Mus musculus: one gene and its partners. The protein of the gene in region 1 purifies or fractionates together with the protein of each later gene. This does not show direct contact. Links are inferred from orthologs where the notes say so. Each region holds a gene or a part of one and is shown on either strand. Other genes may lie near its edges. The genes, in order: Anapc2, Anapc7, Anapc11 and Anapc4.

Region 1 (5,800 bases):
TCTTTTTTGAGACAGGGTTTCTTTGTGTAGCCCTGGCTGTCCTGGAACTCACTTTGTAGACCAGGCTGTCCTCGAACTCAGAAATCCACCTGCCTCTGCCTCCCAAGTGCTAAGATTAAAGGCGTGCCGCGGCTTAGTCACATCTTGTTGATCACATCCAAATAGTTAGGATGGCCATATGCTAGTGTCATTTATCTTAATTTTTGCTGATACTGGAATGGCTCTGGCAAACCCCTGTGCTAAGAGGTCAGGCCTGTGGCAACAATTCCACTATCTTTCATCAGCCAAGCTCCTAAAGGATCTGGCTGGGTCTGTGGGTGACCGACTGTGCAGCCTGTATATTGTAACCCTTTTGCAGGTCATGGCTTTAGAACCAGTGTTAGGGAAGCTAAACTGGCTGAAACTGGGGGAAGCCACTGGTACTGCCTCCTTTTCTATCTGTAAAGTGAGTTTACTGGTACACTTCTCCCTTAAGAGCTACAGGGGTCCTGGAGGGTCTCAGACCATCAGGTGGCCACTAGAGCAAAGGAATCAGTGTCCCGGGTGCCACCTCAATGAGACACTGCAAAGTACAGGGTTACCAGATTAGAAATGTATTACTGCATTGTATTGCCCCAGAATGCTCTAAGGGAAACGATCCTTCCTGCCTCTTGCAGTAGCCCTGGCAGATCTAAGTAAATGGCCTTTTTCTTTATTTTGTTTTTGTTTTTTTGAGACAGGGTTTCTCTGTGTAGCCCTGGCTGTCTTGGAACTCACTCTATAGACCAGGCTGACCTCCAACTCAGAAATCCGCCTGCCTCTGCCTCCTGAGTGCTGGGATTAAAGGCGTGCGCCACCACTGCCCAGGTGGTAAATGCATATCTTTATGTCCAAGTTTTCTCTATGTCTGTTTCCCTCTTCTTGGGATACTAGTTATATCAGATTAAGGACCCTGGAGATAGGACTTACAGTGTCACTAGAGTCAGTGTCCTGGGCTTTACTTACTATCTCTTTGAAGAGATACAGTTTGGCCCATGGCAGCCTGTGGTTCTAAAACTAATAGTCTTTACATGAGAAAATTAGCCAATATCTCCAAAATTAACCACTTCAGCATCAGTTCTTAAAAATCTCTTCTAATCTAGATGGGTGGTGCCTATCTATGATCCTAGCACTCAGGAGACTAAAGCAGAAGGGTGGTGGTTCATTATATAGCCTAGCTATATAGTGAGGACCCCCCCCAAAAAAAAAAAAACCGTATCCATCTGAAGTAGGTTTCGTCTCCACCTTGATGCTGTGAGGTTGTTTTGATCCAAAGCACATTGTTAAAACAAGCCCAGTTCAGAAGAGGGTGTTCCCAAAGGCAGCAAGAAGGATCATGAGCCTAAAGCAAATCTGAACCACGGAAAGCAGAGTTGACAGTGTGGCTCAGGCCTTGGTGGTGCCCTTGGCTTTCCTGGCAGCCCTGTGTGCACTCTCCTGTACCTCTGTCACTGCATTCAGACTGTCAGCATTGCTGCTGACATAACACCCAAAATCTTGGTGCTTTCCATGAAGTGTACAATATCCAATTTATCAAGTGACTGTGATCCTGAGCCAAGTGTGCTGGTGATGCCTGTCACCCCAGCCTTGGAGGCAGGCACAGCAGCAGCACTGCTAGTTTGAGGCTAGCGTGTTGTATATAACAAGTTTCAAGGCAATTCAGCTATAGAGGAAGGCTCTGTCTTTTATTTAAAAAATGAAGAAAAGAAAGTGAGGGAAGGGGTATGTTCCTGGATATGCTACGTGTTCCGGGTGGATCTACAAATCACACTCATGTCAGCAAACATCTAGCTACAGGCTGGTAGTTCTCTGCCAGCTCCCCCAGTGTCTAGTGTTTGCTCATCGTTTCTATCTGAGCTCTCAGCAGCAGGTCCTCTCAGTGCCCTCATCTCTACCAGCATTATTCTCTATAGTATGGGCAATAGCTCTTATCCTTCCTTGAGCCTTCACCAGCATCATCTGCATCTTCCATGTCGTGCCAGTTAACTGTAGCAACCTAAGGTTTAACCTTCATGTGCTTCCCCATTGTACAAACAACTTCTATATTTTAGGTGTTTTTAGAGCAGTATCCCTACATAGAACCAGAATCATCCTTTTTTTTTTTTTTTTTTTTTCTGTTTTAGACAGGGCTTCTCTGTGTAGCCCTGGCTATTCTGGAACTCACTCTGTAGACCAGGCTGGCCTCGAACTCACAGAGCTCCACCTGCCTCTGCCTCCCAAGTGCTGGGATTAAAGGCATGTGCCATCTATACAGCAGAAGCTTCACTTATTATGACCTTTTTAACAGGGCTACACAGAGAAACCCTGTCTTACAGACAGACAGACAGACAGACAGACAGAAGACAAAGTCACAGGCTGAGTGGTTTTAAACAACAGAAAAATGTTTTAGTTCTGGGAAATAGAAGTCCAGTGTTGGGGTGTTGGCAGGACTGGGCTCCTCCTGTTGCCTCTAAAAAACTACTCTTTTGCTTTCCCAGCTTTTGATATGTCAGCATACTTTATGCCTCTCATAACCACTCCCTTCTGTGCCTTAAGGGCTACCCTACTCCAGGATGACCTCTTCTTAACTAATTACATCTACATTAACTCTCTTTGCAAATAACTCATGTTCCAAGGTACTGAGACATGAGAGGGACACAATTTATCAGCAGTTATATCATGGTTGTTCAGGAGCCAGGGACTCCAATCAGGTCTCCTGGTCTTGCTGTTGACTACCTACCTGCCAGGAATGGCATTGGTGCAAGAGCCATTCCATGCTTGGTAGCATGGCATATGAGCCTATGCCTTGTTCATCTGGACCTGCCTGGAACCCACTGGACTGTTATTGATGATTCCTGCCCAGGCTATGCGGACACTTAGTTGGAAGCACACCCTGGGCCTGGTGACAATGGATGTGGAGCTTGCTGACCGCACCCTGTCTGTTGCGGTGACCCCAGTACAGGCAGTGGTCTTGCTGTATTTCCAGAACCAAGGTGAGTCCCTAGAACCATATCTGCTCTGCTTTGACTACACTACCTTGGGGCTATTGCTATAATCTGATGGGCTATAAGGTAACATGCCAGATTCCCCAGCCCCCAGCAGAGTGTAGGGGTAGCAACCATTCTTTTTACCTATGAGTTACACAGGACAATCCACGTGCGTCTGGGGGTCCAGCTAGCTAACAGGTATTGGAGCAGGTATAATCTTCGGTACCTGCATCCTATGGCTCTGCACACAGCCAGCTGGACCCTGGAGGAACTGAGCAAGGTGGTGAAGATGCCTGTGGCACTGCTTCGAAGACGCATGTCAGTGTGGCTGCAACAGGGTGTGCTGCGGGAGGAACCTCCAGGCACTTTCTCTGTCATTGAGGAAGAGCGGCCTCAGGATAGGGACAACATGGTGCTGATTGACAGTGATGATGAGAGTGACTCAGGCATGGCCTCCCAGGCTGACCAGAAGGAAGAGGAGCTACTGGTACGTTGGCCATTTCCACATTGGGCTGGGGTGGGCCAAATAAGTGGACAACTAACCATGCCTGGCTTCTGTTCCTAGCTCTTCTGGGCATACATCCAGGCCATGTTAACCAACCTAGAGAGCCTCTCTCTGGAGCGTATCTACAGCATGCTCCGGATGTTTGTAATGACTGGCCCTGCGCTGGCTGAGATTGACCTGCAGGAGCTGCAGGGCTACTTGCAGAAGAAGGTCCGAGACCAGCAGCTCATCTATTCTGCAGGTGTCTACCGCCTGCCTAAGAATTCCAACTGATGTTCCCTTTCCAGGCTCTGACTACAGCATTCATGCCTGTGCAACCCCTAGATGGACAGCTTCTATTTCCATGTTCCTGTGCCCAGTCCCTGCCCGTTCCCTGCCTAACACCCACAGAACAAATTAAAGCATATTGGCTCATCCTTTCATGTATTTTGTTGGATCCCATGAATACAAACAGGTTTGCCCTCTATAGCCACCCAACCATAACCCTACAGGGCCTGGATTCCCAGCAGCAGGTAACTGAGCCACCCAAGAAGCCAGGCTTACCCCAGCCTAAGCTTGTATGTTTGGGCAATAGATTACCCTAAAGCTATCTCCTGTAGCCTGTCTTAGAATATGCTGGGACCTGTTTCAGCAAGAGTGAATAGGGTTGGCAGCTCAGAGTCTCCCGAGTTAGACTTTGGCCCCATCCTGCTTTTGTGGCCATTAAAAGGAACTCTTGGTCCTTCACTTGTGTGTGGCATCTGTGGAATCAATGTAAGGCTTTGTGCTGTTAGTACATTTGCACTCGATGAGATCCTCAGGTGAGGCAACCTGAGTCAAGTGCACACCTGTGTCTAGCAGTCAAGGTCAGCCTAAGGACATATGCTGGGGGCCAGGGGCGTATTAGTCCTTTGTCCTCTTTTCTCTACTGGCCACACTTCTTGGAGCTTACAAGTATGTACTCAGACTCTTTCAGGTCCCCCAGAGATGCTGTCAGAAGTACAGGAAGAGGGTGGGGACAAGAAGAGAACCCAGGACACAGTTTAATAATCCTTTTCCTCCAAGATAGGGCTCAGCCACCCTTGTAGGCAGGCTGTGCCCAGACACCTGTTGAGGACAGGTTGGCCTTAAGACAACAGAACCTGGTGGGACACAGCATGGGCCCCTGTGTCCCTGTCCCAGAACAGCTGTTTTCAGTCAGGAAATACTGACCTGAGGTGCCATCCTCAAAGGAAACAAAAGCCCTTTGGAATCATTGCTTACACACCCAGATCCTGCCCAAGGTGGATCCCAGGCCACAAGCCACACCTAGCTTGGGCTGCTGCCACTACCCCTAGTCCCTTCCCAGTCCCCTCAAGCCCAGTCTGTGCTGCAGAACCACCACCTCTCATTATCAGCTACTAGCTCTGGTGTGGGTTCTGAGCGGTAGTCCCCCTCAGAGGTCTCACTCCACCCTTCCTGTTCTACAGAGATCATCTTGCCTCAGATTTTAAAGGGTGGAGGCAGGAATTAGGCACACAACCTTGGTCATAGCCTAAGGCTTCCCAGAAATCTAGGAAGCCTTGGTCACAGTACTTCAGAAATGAGGTTTGCTCTCCTCGAGCTGCCAGTCCTGAGTCTCTGCTTCCTACCCCCACTTAAGTGCCATTGCTACAAGAACTGCTCCTCCCTGTTGTGGTAGCAGCAGGGGCCCTGATGATCCCCCCACCAAGTGTTCCTATCTGGTTCATACCACCAGGCCACAGACGGGTGTGTCTTTGTCCTAACCAGGATATAAACTTGCTAGGCTGGCTTGGCAGGGTGACAGTGCCAGCCCTGGGCCTCAGGCACACCTTCTGTTCTGCATTCCTTTGGACTAAGTTTGTGCATGTGTCTTAAAGACCAGAGGTTTTGGTTCTCATTATCATTCAACCAATTTGAAGCCCATATCAGGAACTACTAGCTGTTCCTTAAAGACCAACCCTAGAAGGGTACGCGTGTTTGCCGGCAGGGATGTCCTTGTGATTAGGGCCACTGCGTTCAACTGTGCGCCTCTCCTGGCTCCCTGTTGGCTCCAGCTGGCAAGAGGCTGGGCTCAGTCAGCTACAGGGCTGACATTTCCTCTTCCTGCCTCTTAGTTTGCTTGGCAGGTCCCCTATAGAAGAGAGTGGTAGCAGGGTGGGGCAGCTCTGCTTCCCAGCCTGGGTCACCAAGTTCAGTACAGAGGTGTAGGTTAACCCTGACCATGCCAGGATATAGGCCAACTTGCTTCCTTGGGCAGTGGTTGTCTGGTCTCCAAGGCAACAGACCCTCAGAGCACTGAGCTCTGACTACTATCACAGCATGTGTAGCC
Region 2 (5,349 bases), on another chromosome or scaffold:
GAGCTTGTCTCATAAAACCAAAAACAAAAGAGGAGCTTGAGAGATGGCTCAGGAGTTAAAAGTTTTTTCTTCTTCTGGGGCCAGAGTTTGAAACCCAACACCCACATCAGCAGCTCGCACCCACCTGTAACTCCAGCTCCAGGGACTCCTCCGCCTCTGCTAGCCTCCACATGCGCGCGCAGACACACACATTTATGCACATAAACTAAACTAAAAGATTTTCTTCACTTTGTTATGCAATAGTATTGACCTCTGCTTGGGCTGGAGAGATGGCTCAGCAGTTAGGAACATACACAAGTCTTTCAGAAGATCTGAGTTCAGTTTCCAGCATTTAGGTCAGGTAGTAAGCGGTAAATCTTGGCTAGAGGTAGTGGTGCACACCTTTAATCCTGACACTTAAAGGCAGGGCAGGTGGATCTCGAGGCCAGCCTGGTGTACAGAGCAAGTTCCACAACAGCTGAGGCTACACAGAGAAGACCCTGTCTGGAAAAAAAAAAAAACCTTTGGTGACACATGCCTTTAATCCCAGCTCTTAGGAGGCAGAAGCAGTTGGATCTTTATGAGTTCCAGGCTAGCCTGGTCTACACACTAACACCCCCACCCCGTCTCAAAAACAAATCAAAGAAATCCTTAAAATATATCTGCTTGAATCAAGGTATCTAAAATTATGGAACATTTCTCAATGTCCCAGAGGCAGCATCTTTGGGTCAGATATTAGGAGGTGTTTTGCGAGGATCACATGGCTAAGAAAAACAAGGATAATAGTACTTTGTTTTAAGGAGCCGGTCTTTATTTGCACAGGGCTGTGGGTTGGTTTTTCTGCTAGAAAGTAGAATAGTAGTCGGGCATCAAATGAGCGCGCGCTCACGGCGCAGTGTTTGCTGTGCGGATACTCTTGCTTTACCGTTCTCTGTTTCGTGTGTGTAGATAAACATGATGCTGGCAAACCTGTACAAGAAGGCTGGTCAGGAGCGCCCATCAGTCACAAGCTATAAGGAGGTCCTGCGGCAGTGCCCTTTGGCCCTTGACGCCATTCTAGGTACAGAAAGTTTTCTCCCTGGTGCCTGGGGTGTTTGCAGTCTTAGATGATGGTTCTCAGTCACAACTATGGTTAGATAGAGCAGGGTTTTTTTTTCAGATTTTAATTTTATGTTAATGTGAATGAGGGTTTTGTCTGTATGTCTGTATGTATGTAGTGTCTAATGCCATAATGGTTGGAGGGGGGCATTGGAGCCCCAAGAGCTGGAGTTAGGGGATGGTGGTAGACATGAGTACTGGGAATTAAACTTGGATCCTCTGCAAGACCAGCAAGTGCTCTTCACCACTGAGCCGACTTCATGGCGCATAGAGTAAGTTTACACCATTCTGAGCACTGTCGGTTATGAACTAGAGGAGTCGCTGTCTTGGACAGGGTACAGTTGAGTGGCTGCAATGCTTGAGCATGCCTGAGGCGCTGACCTTTGAGTTGTGTGTATCTTGCTTAGAGGAGGGAGGGCAGCTGTGTAGCTGCTGGGGTTGCACCGTGGGAAGAGGGTGCTGTGCCTCACGTTTCTCTTGCTCTTGGGGCCAGGTTTGTTATCCCTGTCTGTGAAAGGCGCAGAGGTGGCATCAATGACGATGAATGTGATCCAGACTGTGCCCAACTTGGACTGGCTGTCCGTGTGGATTAAAGCGTATGCTTTTGTGCACACCGGTGACAACTCGAGAGCAATCAACACCATCTGGTGAGAGCCAAGGTGTCAACTCAGTGGTTATTTTGGTGGGAGGCACAGTCTGAGATAAGTCACATCTTACTACATACCCAGGTTGCCCTTGAAATTGCCTCAGTCTTCCAGCCTAGGTGTCCCTAGTGCTAGGACTATAGGCACGAGCCACCAAGCCTGGCTGACTCCAGGGATCTTAGCCCTTTCCTCATCTAGAGATGTGATATAGCTGGTGACACAGAAGAGCTAGGTGTGATATAGCTGGTGACACAAAAGCTAGGTGCTGCTTACTGCTTGACATTGCAGCATTTGTCTTTGGGTTAGGTTTTTTTTCTAATGCACTAAGTGATTGCATATGTAATAAACTGTTGGAACCTGTGAAAATGAACAGCCGGACTGAGTTCTGTACTGTTCATATGAAGATGGCCTTCCTTAAAGAGCAGACTGCTGGGGGCTGGAGAGATGGCTCAGCCGGTAAGAGCACTGACTGCTCTTCCAAAGGTCCTGAGTTCAATTCCCAGCAACCACATGATGGCTCACAACCATCTGTAATGAGATTTGACACCCTTTTCTGGAGTGTTTGAAGACAGCTACAGTGTACTTACATGTAATAAATAAGTCTTTAAAAAAAAAAAGAGCAAACTGCTGAGGGTGTCATGTTCATGCCTTTTCGACTTGGTAGACATGTTTACTGTATACCTGACATAGGCTAGATCTCTTTGCAGTTAGGGATTTCTTTTTATTTATTTAAACAAAGTTCTAGGACCAAAGGCTGCATGCATGTGTGCATCTATCTATCTATCATCTAACTATCATTTATCTATCAACTAACTACTACCCACCTACCTATCTGTCATCTGTCATGTACCTCCTTGCCTACCTATTTGTCACAAGTAGCTATCACTAGTGAATGCTGTATTAAAAGTCATTTTTGTTTAAAAAATTATAACCGTGCTGTTGTGGTAGTGAGCACTTTTAACCTCAGTGCTCAAGAGACTGAGGCAGGCCTGCCAGGGCTCTTTAGTGAAACCCTGTCTCCAAAAAAGAAAATTATAACCACAGAGGTTTTTATAGATATTAAGTGATATATTTGAGATATGTGCATATAAAGTATCATTATATGACTTTTAAGTATTTTATTTCCTTTCATGTATATAGATGGTTGTCTGTCTGCATGTAGTTTGCATGGCATGTGCATGCATAGTGAACAGAGGCCAGGAGAGGGCGTCAGCTTCTCTGAGCTGAAGTCACGGTCACCCGTAAGCTGCTCTGCTAGTGCTAGGAAATGGATCTGGCCCCTTTGCAGGGACATACGATGCTCTCACTGCTGAGCCTTCTTCCAGACCCCTGTGTGACTTTAAAGCTGAGGTTAAGGTCCATTGTACCTCAGTCCTTTAAAAAGTTTTAGGCCAGGCATGCCTTTAATCCCAGCACTCGGGAGGCAGAGGCAGGCGGATTTCTGAGTTCGAGGCCAGCCTGGTCTACAGAGTGAGTTCCAGGACAGCCAGGGCTGCACAGAGAAACCCTGTCTCAGGGGAAAAAAAAGTTTTAAAAATTAGATTTGTGTTTATTTGTTGTATGTGGGCACACGTGCTTGTGTGGAGGTCAGAGGACAACTTGGAGGTGTCGGTTCTCTTCCACCACAGAGGTTCCAGGGTCAAACTCAGATCATCAGGCCTGGTGGCAAGTGCTGCTCTTAACCTGCTGAGGCAGCTCACTGCCTTACTGACGTTTCCTTCCTTTAATTATTACTATTATAGTTAGGAGTTGTAGTGCCTGTGTGTACTGTCAGGACTTGGAGGAGGAGGTAGGAGGATCGTGAGTTCAAGGCTAACCTGGGGAATTTAGTGCGACCCTACTTCAAAAATCACCCCCCCCCCCAAGCCTTTTTATCAAAAATTTCACCCATATAGAAAAGTATGTCATCTGTAAGCCCACCCCCAGATGGAATGATTAAAAACAGATTGTAACAGAGTCTAAGGGTTAGTATTTATCTTTTAAGTTCACTAGAGAAAAAATCATTACTGCGAGACAACGTGGACCTGCTGGGGAGCCTGGCCGACCTGTACTTCAGAGCAGGGGACAGCAAGAACTCTGTCCTCAAGTTTGAGCAGGCCCAGATGCTGGATCCCTACTTGATAAGAGGTGAGTCCGACTGAGTGTGTTACTGTTTTTAGGCTTTGTGTGTGTGTGTGTGTGTGTGTGTGTGTGTGTGTGTGTGTGTTTGTACGCATACAGGTGAGGACAGGTGCTCTTGGAAGTCAGAGGCGTTATGTTTGTTTCCCAGGGGTCAGAATTATGACCCTTCTGATGTGGGGATCTACAAAGAACAGTGCATGCTCTTGGCTGCTGAGCCCCCCCCCCCCCCCCCCCCGCGCTTTTTTTTTTTGAAGACATAGTCCATGTAGCGCAGGTTAGCCTTGAACTTGGCTTTGATTTCTTGATTCTGTTTTCACCTCCCAAGTGCCTGGCTCACAGGTATGTACTACCATGCTCATCTCTGCTCCTGGTTTCCAAGCCGCTTTTGTAAGGCTTCCTGTAGTGGTTCTTTCTCCTATCCTGGCATGGCTTTTTAACACTTAGGTAATTCTGTTCTGAGTGGCTGTTTTCTCTTCACAGACCATTGCTTAGCCTTCTTGTAAGGGCCTTTGTGGCATCTCCACCTCCCTGCGAGTTAATACATGTGTGATGTGGCTGACTTATGGCATCTGAGAACCCTAATGTCCTTCTAGGAGCTTTGGTTTTACTGTGTCCTTGTATGATGTTGAGGAAGCAGGGGAGTGGCTATAGAGGGAGGGAAGGTGCCTACCGTGTCATCAGGGCGGAGTGAAGGCACAAGGCACAGGGGCTTGAGAAGCCGGTGGGGCCAGTGAGTGAAATTTGTAAAGACTCAACAGAGGTCACCAGAAAAATGCGCCTCGGGATAATAAACAGGCTTTAGATTCTAAAGAGTAAGTTACCAATAATTCTAACAGGCTGAAGCAGGCTTGTGAGAGCGAGGTTAGCTACACAGGGAAACCCTGACTCAAACAAACAAGAAGGGTGACTGAGTGTGGGAATAGATCTAGAGTGTTTGTTTGTACAAGTTCTCCTCTGGCGTGTATTCCTCTTTCCAAGCTGTCCAACCCCACTTGTGATCTCAGCACTTGGGAGGTGGAAAAAGGAGTCAAAGGCTCAGCTCAACCTACCACTGAAGACCCAGACTAAAGAAACAGACCAGGGCGTGGTGTCCCAGCACTCAGGGCTCTGAGGTCAGGCTGGTCTACAGAGTGAGTTCCAGGATAGCCACGGCTACACAGAGAACCTCTGTCTGGAAACAACAACAACAACAAACAAAAGAAGAGGAAGAAGAAAGACAGAGAGAGAGGAAAACAATAATTTAGTGTTTTAGGAATACAAGCTTGGTGGCATTGGTAGCTTGGTGTTGGATGTTCATACCCGGGCCCAGGCGAGCAGGAGTGTGGCTATGAACTTGCTCTGAGAGTAATGGGGATTTGAAGGGATGGAGAGGAAGGAGAGTGGTAGGAAGAGGTGCATGAGAGCCAGTGTGGGGCCTCATAAACCATGAGGGAGGAGTGGAAGGGGCTTGGGGAGAGTAATGCGAGGACTGGCATTTTAGAATGGAGCTACAGCATTTGGGGGCATA
Region 3 (5,349 bases), on another chromosome or scaffold:
AGCTATGTCCTTCAGGGCCTTTGGGAGGGGCTTCGCCAGGGGTGAGGCAGGACTCCGAGCAGGGCTTTCTAAAAGAACCTTGAGCTGACATTGTGGCTCTGAAAGACTGAGCAGCAGGAGCAGGGTCTGAGGATGCTCTGGGGGTGGTTTTAAATGGCATGCAAGAACTATCTATGCCCAGTGCCTACTGCTTAAGTAGGGGGACCACCTGTTCAGACTCTGGAGTCAGGGTGGAGGCTCTATCCCCTTTCTGGCTTTGTGGAAGAGGAAAAGAGCCAGCCAGGGCACAGAAGGGAAGTGGAGCAATCATCACCCCAGGGACCCGCTCAGCCAGGCACCCACTTGTCAGGGTCTCTGCGCCATCTCCTCCAGCAACCCTTAGCAGAGACAGTTTTGCTTCTTTATTAATTTAGCCATTTGCTATGGAGCATGGTGGGAGCTAGGGGCCAAACCCACACAGGGTCTGTGCTACTTCAAGCAAGACTGGGCATATGGGGGTTGGGGAGAGTCACCGGCCGCAGGGTTGGGGTTCAGGGCTCAGGTGCTCTGGCAATCAGTCTCGTGCAGCGACAAGAAGACGTCCGCTTTACACTGGAAAGTCCCTCGGCTGTTGAGTTGCCGCTGGCAGCTCTGCAGGTTCGGGGTCACATCTTTGACACACAGGGCCTGGGTAGGCGGTGGAGGCTGAGGGCCCGCCCCTGTCCCACCAGCTCCCGCCACCCATCGCCTGCTTGCACTCACAAGGCTCCTTACGCTGGGGCGCATCTCTAAATTGCGCAGAGGTCCGGTTCCCACCCGGAGTGCTGGAGACTCGGAGCGTCGCGTGGACGGGAACCTGTGGAAACTCGACAGTAGCCCCGAGGCGCGGCCCACCGAGTAGTGGTGGGGTCCCGCCGCGGGCTTGTACCACGCGAGGGCTGGCGGCAGGAGCAGCGCCAGGGCAGCGGCCACCAGCGTCCTACACCGGGCCATGGAGCTGTGACAGGGGCAGGCAGAATGTAGCGACTGAAGTCTGTGAACCAGGCTTTATATTTACAATGGGGGCGGGGGACAGAGGCAGGGAGGGGGATGAGGAGGAGCGGGCGACAGAAAGGAGTGGCGCACAGACTGCAAGTGGTAAATCAGTGGGATCTCACACCCTGCGAGATGGGGCAGAGGGCCCGTTCCTCCCTCAAGTGGAACTGTCCTTTTACTGACCAGATGTATCAACTTCCAAGGGTGGAATGTGGAACTGTCTTAGGGCACTATTACTGTGATGAAACACCATGATCAAAAGTGACTTGGGGAGGAAAGGGTTTATTTGGTTTACATATCCTGAGTCACAGTCCGCTGTAGAAAGCCAAGGCAGGAACTCCAATGGGACCGAGGTGGAAGCTGATGCAGGGGCCATGGAGGGGTGCTGCTTACTCTCAGGGCTTCCTCAGCCTGCTTTTTTACCGAACCAGGATCACCAGCCCAGGGATAGCACCACTCAAAATCTGCTGGGCCCTCCCTCATCATTCGCTAATTGATTTTTCCAAGCTGGAGAGATGGCTCAACAGTTAAAAGCACTAACTGCTGTTCCAGAGGACACAGGTTGGATTCCCAGTACCATGCGCAGGTGGCTCACAGGGCAGTTCACATCTGTCTGGAACTCTAGTTCCAGGGGTCAGATGCCTTCTTCTGGCCTCTATAGGCACTGGGAGAATGCATGTATGCACAGAAACGCTTGCAGGCAAAACATCCACACACATAAAATGTAAAGACATTATAAAGAGGAAGAAAGAAAATGTCCTACAGGCCTGCCCTCAGCCTGATCTTACGGAGGCATTTTCCCAACTGAGGATCACGCCTCTCAGAGGACTCTAGTTCACATCAAGTTAACATAACATCAGCCACCACAGGGGCCTTGCTTATTCTTTGGTCCTGTCTAGGCTCACCAACAGGGTCTCACTCTATAACCTATATTGGCCTCGAACTTGGAGAAAATAACTCATCTTGCCAATGCAACAAGGTTGGAGTTGTTTTGGTGTGGTGCTCACGGTGGAAGACTCTGATGCTGGGCTTGCCCTTTCTGAGGAGAAGTGTTGCGCTCAGGCTCCAACCTTCAGAAAAGCCTGGGCAAGCAACTCTGGACCCTAGGGGCAAGTAACTGCCCTGCCCACGCTACACCAGTGGGTATGGCCTAGGAACCGTCCCCACCTGTACTTAGCAAACAGTGACTCGAATACTGGACACAGGAGGGTAACATGTAAGAGACTTGTGGTATGTGCAGGAGCCAGAACATGAATAGGACTGTGTCTGGCCACCCAGGGCAGGCACAGGTGGATTAGAGCAGAGAGAGCTTCCTGAGGTCAGTGGTGTAGGCTTCCTCCTCCAAGGCCTCCTGCTCCCACATGGAAAAGGGGCTTAGGCTGAGCACAAGCTGCAGTGCTCGGTACATTGCTGTCCTGACTTTTCTGGAGAAAGCTGGTGGAAGAACAATGGAGTAGGAAGGGGAGGAGCCAGGGGTCCCATTTGCAAGCAGCCCAAGGTTAGTTATGGCTTTCTCATCTCTAGAGAGCGGACATGCTACATGGGTGGAGTTGACCCTGAGGAAAGGCTGCTGACACCGTGAGACAACACACCAGGAAGAACCTCAGTGGTAAGTGAAGGCCATGAAGGATTCTGAGGTTAGCCCGGGAACAGAAGCACTCAGGAGCACTGCCAACTGCACAGGAAGTTGTTTCAGAGAGGATGGCCCGGAATGAAGTCCCAGAGAATGTTCCTAGAAGAGGCATGGAGGACCCTCCAAGAAAATGAGCAGACTGGAGATGGAAGGCACAAGCTGAACAAGCCAGGGTACACCATACCTGTCAGCTCAAGGACTTCCAAATCCACCAATCCTGGCTCCCCTCTGCAGCTCTTGGGGGTCCTTACCCCTGAAATGGCCCTCTTCACTCCTGATAGCTGTGCCAGTTCCAGGATTAGCATGCTAGAGATAGCCAAGTGGTATGAAATTCTAGTCTCCCAGAAGCACAAGTCTGCTTCAAATAGGAGGACTTCAGTGATACCACACACAGTGGGCAACAAGTCTCAGAGCCAACAAACATGTAGATGATCCAGATTGCTTGGAACCAGCCCCTAGTAGTCTACTTCCCCGGCTGTGGAGCACACAGGGAGTGCAGAGGTGTTACTGGGAAGAGTCAGAGAGTGAGGACAAGGTGGTAAGTTGGCCAGAACTCCTAGATGCCAGCCTAAATTGGTTTCTACCCAGGAGCTTAACACATCAGGGCTGGGCTACTGTTTTCCTGATAACTGGTAATCCCTAGCTCTAGGGAATAATAATAGTTTCCAAATGGCCTTCCTTCCCTAAGACACCAGAGGACCCACATCCTCCTACACTATATCTGCCTTCATCCAAGGAAGACACAAGAGACTGAAAAGCTTGCTGCAGTTGTCCCCGAAGATTATCTGGACATGAATGACCACTGCCTGCTTAGCTATTTCTTCCTCCAACCAAATAGCTCTGGAAGAGCAGCTGCCAGCTTTGCTCAGCTAGGGCTGGGGATGGGACGAGATCTCGGGACTCCCAGTAGACTAGGGCAGCTGATGGGCTACGTGCACCCTGCCTGTCTCCTTGACACAAACACACCCTAAGGTCTTTGCCCAGCTTGGCTCTGCCTGAATCTCTCCTCCTCCTCCTGTCTGAGCTGTGACTCAGATTACGATGAAGGTTTTGGCCATTATTTCATCAAGCTGTTTATTGGAGTTTTCATAGCAAAACATGCTGCTAGCAGCATCAGTATGTCAAGAAACCAGGCAAGCAGAGGCCTCCAGCACGGCTCGGAACTGTAATGAGTTTTACTTATTGAATAAAGTGTCAATGTGATGGGAAAACAAAACAGTCAGCAAAGCTCCTTTCAACCTTGTCCCAGCCAAACAGAAAGCATCCTTGTCCCCGGCACAGACCGAGATCTCTGGGCACCACTGTGCTGTGTGGAGGGGACTTGGGGTGCTGTATCTGGGGGAGGGGAGGGAGGGAAGGGGCTGAGCCTGGCACAGCACAGGAGAGGGAAGTGGCACGGCACGGGCTTCACTCTTTGAACTTCCACTCCTGGCGACACATGGGGCAGTGCTGCTGCACCTGCTGCGCATTCAGCCACTTGAGGATGCAGTGCATGTGGAAGCAGTGGGAGCACTGTCCCCACACGAGGGGGCAGTCATCACCAGGCACCTTACCTGCAAGAAGGAGAGACTGGCCTTAGGTAAAGAACCAGATAAAACACACAGAGCATGTGACAAGCCAGGCAGGCACCTCTGGGACATTAGTCAACAGCTCTAATCACTGGCAGAGAGCCTCTCATTCTCAGAGGAGACAAAAAGTAGGGCTGTGACCCAAATCATCCCCAGACATGGCCCACGGCATTACAGATCTGCAGTGACTCCCTCTATAGCAAGTGAAGTGTCCTCAGAGGGGAGAGGCCTGGCCCACTAGGTTCTGGTCCCTTTCTCACACCTTTCTGTGAAAAACTGACCCGTAATACCAACGACTCACAGCCTGAGTGGAGAACTCTTTGTCTTCATTACAGGCATCCTGAAACCTGGAAAGTCTCTTCCCTGGACATCAGAGATCTACTGCACTATGGATCTTGGGGACACTGGTGTTTATGGGACAGTTACTAATAGAGGACTTATCAGCACCTGTTACCTTCTTCATCTGAAACCTCAACTCCAAAGAGCACTGACTGCTCTTTCGGAAGTCTTGAGTTAAAATCCCAGCAACCACATGGTGGCTCACAACCATCCATAATGAGAAACAAAATAAAGAACCTATGGGCCGGAGTGAACATGGGGGGGCCAGAGCAAGTGGGACCTGGAGCAAGTGGGGGCCGGAGCAAGAGGGAGAAATGGAAAGTGGGGGGAGAAAAGAAGCTGGACAGAACCTCTGAAGCTGACCTCTGGCTGACAAACAGATAGGCACATAGACACACAGACACATACACATACATGCAGACACACATACATAAACATATGCACAGGCACACACACACTGAGTTCAAGGCCAGCCTGGTCTAAAGTGGGAGTTTCAGGACAGCCAGGGCTACACAGAGAAACACTATCTCAAAATAAAAAAAATAAAAAAAAAAAGCAAGCAACCACAACTCCTACTTCCACCCCAAGCCAGGGGGCACAGGCTGCAGACACTCTGCAAGTCCAAGTCCAAGGGGAGATAGATTATATAGATTATCATAATCAAAACTAATAGGGGGCTGTAGAGCTAACAGGGTTCAGTCCCTAGCTTCCACACGACAGCTCACAGCCATCTGTACGTACTCTAATTCCAGCAGATCTGACACCCTCTTCCGGTTCCCCCAGACACTGCATACA
Region 4 (5,349 bases), on another chromosome or scaffold:
AAACATCAAGAAGGGATCACTGACTAGTACCCTGGAGAGTTATTTACCCAAGGTGCCAGAAGAAAAAGATTGTCTTGGCTACATAAAAGTTCTGGAATTTTATACATCCAATATACATACGCACATTCATACTTATATATACATACCAAATGATCGCATGTATATAAAAAGTTCATAGAAAATCCCCAAAACTGACATACATTTCTGGGGGCGAGGTCTTCTACCGGAATTTTGTATTTTATCTTTATAAAGGCAATAACTACCTTTGAGTAATTACTGTCAAGAGAAGAAGGGAAAGAGTCAGGGTGGGATCGTCCACGTGCGCTCACCTGGCTTTCCCCCACAGCAGCAAGTGCATGAACTCATCCTGCACTGACGTGGTTGTAGGTTTTTCCTAGATAAAATTTAAAAATTACATATTTATATTCATAAATATACTTATATTTATTTATATATTTAGTATATTTATATTATAATAAACATAAGCATATTTATTCAAAGTTATAGGGACATAATTTTAGTACAGCTCCACCCAGCTGTACCAAAGGGGAAACAAAGAGTCTGCCACAGTTTGGATGTGGCTTGTCCCCAGGGTCTCTCTGCTGAAGGCTTGCCCTTAAGGTGATGACACTGACATGGTAGGCTCTTTAAGTAGTAGCTGAGGATGGAAGGTGGCGAGTCAGTGAGAAGAAATGAAGTTGACACTCTGGGAACACTGGTTAGTTCTTCCAAGAGTGGTTGTTAGAAACAAGATTATCCACCCACACCGCCTGGCTTCCTGTGTCAGTGTGACCCCTATTAAACATGCTCTTGCCATGATGACACCTGATGAACCCTCCTCAACAGATGGAAAACAAATGATGCTACATAACCCTCAACTGTCAGAATCTAAAACTAAGAGCTAAAAAAAAATTCCTTTTTGATATATTACAAGCCACAGTACTGTTATTGAAACAGAAAACTGACTAATATATTCTTTTCACACCCTGCCCCTAAAAACTAAGGTTGTACTGAACCATCTAAAATAAAGATCTTAGCATTTTGCAAACCAAACTAATTTTTTTCTTTTTTTTAAAAAGATTTATATATTATTATACATAAGTATACTGTAGCTGTCTTCAGATGCACCAGAAGAGGGCGTCAGGTCTCATTACGGATGGTTGTGAGACACCATGTGGTTCTGGGATTTGAACTCAGGACCTTCAGAAGAGCAGTCGGTACTCTTAACCACTGAGCCATCTCTCCAGCCCCTAATTTTTTCTTTTAAGACTGTATTTTATAGAGTGAGTGTGTGTGTGTGTCTGTGCATGCACACACACAAATATAGGTATAAAAGGTATCCACAAAGGCTAAGGACATCAGATCCCTCTAAAGCTGTAATTGCAGTTGGATGTGAACCAACCAACTCAATCGTGGGCCCTCCACAAGGGCAGTAAATGAATTACTCAGGCAGCTCTCTGGCCTGCCACCTTCTCTTTGAGACAGGGTCTCATCCTATAGCCCACATCAACCTTGAATTTGTGGCAAACTTTCTGTCTTGTCTCTTCCAGTGTTGGGATTACAAAGTGAGCCGCTCTGCCCAGTTCTGACCCTCATATATCTCACAAAGTGGCAGACAGAATGAGCTCAGTATCTGCACAGGGAAGGTCAGTTAGGAGTACATTACCTGTACAAACTTGGTAAGACGGGAGTCCATCTGCATCAGAATTTCTTCCCATGCTTCACACATACATGTCAGTGACAAATTTATATACTATTAACAAAAAGAAAAGTACAGTAAAAAATATCAAAACAACATGCTATTGCATTCTTCTTTGGCAGAATTTACTTCCAACTACTCTTCTAACTCAATAAAGCTATAGGAAAAAATAAATACATGACTAAGCTTTGGTAATCACTTAATTAAGAAACTAAATTATCCAGTGATTTTTACAAATTTACAATGACACATTCCCAAGTTTGTATTTGGGAAAACAAGTGCTTTTTTGTATTTTACACATCCTGTCATGATGCTGCTTTGTTTAGGTACTTAACTGTCACACAGGATCCCTAAGAAAAAACAAACCTCTAGAAATCTTTAACAATAAGCAAAATAAAGACTGAGGTAAAACAAACAAAAGATTAGTACTTCTTTGTAGATGCTCCATCAGGGAAAACAGTCTAGCCTGGTCCCTGCCTTGTTCTAACAGAACAACACAGCAGAGAGAGTAAAACTGAGCTCAAAGCCTCCAAGTCTTTGAGAATCCTGCAGCCATCACCATGTGAATGCTCACAGGTAGGCAGGCTGGCCAGAGGATGCGGGAGCTGGAGCAGAGACATAGCCCTTCCAGCCTTGGAACATGTACCTGTTTGCATAACAAGTTTCTTTAAGGTGAACTACTCCAGGCACAGATGGATAGAACCTTCTGGATCACCCTAGCCAAACTGCTCGAGTACAGAACCATGAACTAACTTAGGATGGATTTATTATGAAAAAAGCTAAATTTATAAAGATTCTTTTTCTCTTTATAGATTTACTTATTCATTTCATGTGAGTGCATGGTCACTATCTTCAGACACAGTACAAGAGTACATCGGATTCCAATATAAATGGTTGTGAGCCACCATGTGGTTGCTGGGAATTGAACTCAGGACCTCTGGAAGAGCAATCAGTCCTCTTAAACGCTGAGCCATCCTTCTAGCCCATGAAGATACTTTTTGCACAATAACTTTTCTATAAAAAAAGTTTAAGTTACATTCTCATTATAAATAGTTTAGGAGATAAACAGGATTTTTTTCCCTTTTTTTTGGAGGCAGTTAACAGGGCTGGACAGGAGATTCTCAATTAAATTTTTGCTTTCACTTTATTAAGTATTATAAGAAGAGTAGTTTATAGCACTCCTACTGCAGGTAGCTTTACAACATGAACTTTCAATAGTTTTTCTTTATAAATCTTCCAGTAAAGAGTTAACATAGAGCAGGTCATATGGATGCGTACCTGTAAGAGAGCTGAAATGTGAGTAAACTTCCTGGCCATACGAGTTACTTCAGGTAAGAAGGAATACAGCAGATTGGTTTCAAGCTACAAAATAAAACAATAAATAAAATGACTCACAGGAGCATTTACTTCTTTTGAAGACAAATTATTCACATCCAGATTAAAAACAATCCCTTAGCTTAAAGAGTCTTTATCTAAATAACATGCCAGAAAATCTTAGAGCCCTGTCCCTTGAGTGTGGAAACCAGTAGGTGACCACCTCAGGATTTCCAACTGGGGCACAACTCTGAGTCATCCCTCCCTTCCTTGTAGCTACATATGCAGTAACTTATAGCACCATTATGACAACATTTAAAAACGACCACAGATTAATGTTAAAAACTTAGTGCAAGTAAAAAGGACTAAAGGTTATGGATTAATATGTGACTGTCAGTTAGTATGAGTCATATTTCAATGAGACCGGCATTGTTTGGCCTTGGTACAGATCTGTAATCACAGCATTTGGAAGGTCCAGGTAGGAGGATGAGGTGCAGGCATCAGGAGGAGGAAGAGGAGGAGAGGAGGAGGAGGAGAGGAGAAGGAGGTGGTGGTGCAGGCAGGAGGAGGAGGAGGAGGAGGAGGAGGCATAATGCAAGGTCATCTTCAGCTATGCGCAATGAGTTGGAGGCAAGCCTACATATTTCATGAGATCGAATTCAAAACTACAACAAAAAAACAAATCTATCACAAACCTCACAGAAAAAGGAAAATCACTTTACTAGAGCTCAGGCGCAAACTTGTTAATCAACAGTTTCTCAGCCTCACAAAAAAGAGCCAATGCAAGCAGCCATAGTCCCCAGCTCTTTGATGTTCTGAACAGACTGTGCAAATACCACACCACACATTCTTTTGGTCCTCCTTCTGAGAGTTCAGACATACTTAAAACACTGGGATAGCTCAGAAGAAACACTTGGAAAGATTTCCTAACAAAGCAAAGCTATAATATAAATATAAAAGCCCAAAGCCAGGTGTGGTGGCGCACGCCTTTAATCCCAGCACTCGGGAGGCGGAGGCAGGCGGATTTCTGAGTTTGAGGCCAGCCTGGTCTACAGAGTGAGTTCCAGGACAGTCAGGGCTTCATAGAGAAACCCTGTCTCGAAAAACAAAAAAACAAAACAAAACAAAACAAAAAAAAGCCCAGGCAGTATCCTAGTCTATAACACAAGCCAGTTTAAAAAAGATTTTTCCTTATTCTGAGTGATCATTTAATCCTTGTGGCAATGTGCTGAGAACACAAACCAGAACCAGAAAGCCTAGCATGACTTTCCAATTCTGTGGTGACTCTAAGTGAGCTCTACAGTTCCTCTTGTGCCCAAAATCTTATCTACAAATTAGATAAGTACTACCTATCCATTATATTGCTGTGTTTGAAGCACCTGTCACATTATGTAACCAATAAAATATAAGCTTTCATTACTAAGAGAGACAAAGACTAAAGAAAAAAATGAAACAAACTTCAGTACAAAGCTAAGCTGGTCAAATAACCAATTAGTAAGGCAATAACAGACTTTCAAACAGTCTTAACTATGAAAACTAAATGATAGTATATCAAGAAATAACATTCACTATAATAACACTCAATATACAAGATTTAGACATCCCAAGGAGACCTTCATGTTTTACTTATTACACTTCAGTGATATGAGTAGTTAAAACCCATAATTACATAATTGAGCGGGGTACAGCTCAATAGCAGAGAGCATGCTCTGCCCTGAGCTCAATTCCTATCACCAAGGGAAAATCATGTCCCTGACACTGGAATAGCTACAACACTCACCTGAAAATATGAAACTTCTGATTCGCCACCGCTGGAAACCTCTGTGACCACTGATAATGACTTCAAATCACTTGATAAACACAGAGCAATACAAGTTCCGGCAATCTGCAAAACAGTTATCACCATGCCAGATACATCTGCTATTACAGACAGGCTGCATCTGCTTATAACAATGGAGGCAAAAATTCACACATAACTTTAAAAAGTAGAAATGCACAACCCTGATTCCTGACTTACCCATGGAGTGGTCCAAGAGCACACTAATACCCTAATTAATGTCTGTCCTCCTCCCATGAAGGGACCCACACCAAATACTGACGAACCAACATATCCCATAGATTCTAAGATATTCTCTCCCTTTAAGAGCTTAGGACTTCTTTCACATGTCAACCACCCACTTCAACTCTTGCCCACTGCAGGCTTAAAAACCAGTAAATTTGAATTAAATGGCTCATGCCAATCATTCTTTAAAAGGAAAAAACTTGACTAATTCCACCAATAGCTCCTGATTGCTACAAACACAGTAACACTAAATTCCATGTTACTAAAATTAACC

Evidence for each region.
Region 2: the proteins of Anapc2 (region 1) and Anapc7 fractionate together in Homo sapiens (co-fractionation; 6 studies listed by BioGRID and IntAct, with this or other methods). This does not show direct contact. The link is inferred for Mus musculus from reciprocal best matches to the Homo sapiens genes ANAPC2 and ANAPC7.
Region 3: the proteins of Anapc2 (region 1) and Anapc11 purify together in Homo sapiens (affinity purification with western blotting; 7 studies listed by BioGRID and IntAct, with this or other methods). This does not show direct contact. The link is inferred for Mus musculus from reciprocal best matches to the Homo sapiens genes ANAPC2 and ANAPC11.
Region 4: the proteins of Anapc2 (region 1) and Anapc4 purify together in Homo sapiens (affinity purification with western blotting; 12 studies listed by BioGRID and IntAct, with this or other methods). This does not show direct contact. The link is inferred for Mus musculus from reciprocal best matches to the Homo sapiens genes ANAPC2 and ANAPC4.

What each region holds. Positions count from the first base shown.
Region 1 is NC_000068.7:25,281,702-25,287,501, forward strand, and holds the end of Anapc2 (anaphase-promoting complex subunit 2), read left to right. Parts: intron 1-2,860; coding exon 2,861-2,990; intron 2,991-3,235; coding exon 3,236-3,471; intron 3,472-3,549; coding exon 3,550-3,762; 3' UTR 3,763-4,215; downstream 4,216-5,800. UniProt on the Homo sapiens protein: Together with the RING-H2 protein ANAPC11, constitutes the catalytic component of the anaphase promoting complex/cyclosome (APC/C), a cell cycle-regulated E3 ubiquitin ligase that controls progression through mitosis and the G1 phase of the cell cycle.
Region 2 is NC_000071.6:122,431,814-122,437,162, forward strand, and holds part of Anapc7 (anaphase-promoting complex subunit 7), read left to right. Parts: intron 1-927; coding exon 928-1,039; intron 1,040-1,570; coding exon 1,571-1,724; intron 1,725-3,705; coding exon 3,706-3,848; intron 3,849-5,349. UniProt on the Homo sapiens protein: Component of the anaphase promoting complex/cyclosome (APC/C), a cell cycle-regulated E3 ubiquitin ligase that controls progression through mitosis and the G1 phase of the cell cycle.
Region 3 is NC_000077.6:120,604,132-120,609,480, reverse strand, and holds the end of Anapc11 (anaphase-promoting complex subunit 11), read right to left. Parts: intron 4,201-5,349; coding exon 4,055-4,200; 3' UTR 1,283-4,054; downstream 1-1,282. Other genes in the region: Npb (neuropeptide B isoform 1 precursor), read right to left, coding at 538-666, 742-972. UniProt on the Homo sapiens protein: Together with the cullin protein ANAPC2, constitutes the catalytic component of the anaphase promoting complex/cyclosome (APC/C), a cell cycle-regulated E3 ubiquitin ligase that controls progression through mitosis and the G1 phase of the cell cycle.
Region 4 is NC_000071.6:52,843,036-52,848,384, reverse strand, and holds part of Anapc4 (anaphase-promoting complex subunit 4), read right to left. Parts: intron 4,899-5,349; coding exon 4,794-4,898; intron 3,062-4,793; coding exon 2,978-3,061; intron 1,754-2,977; coding exon 1,667-1,753; intron 395-1,666; coding exon 330-394; intron 1-329. UniProt on the Homo sapiens protein: Component of the anaphase promoting complex/cyclosome (APC/C), a cell cycle-regulated E3 ubiquitin ligase that controls progression through mitosis and the G1 phase of the cell cycle.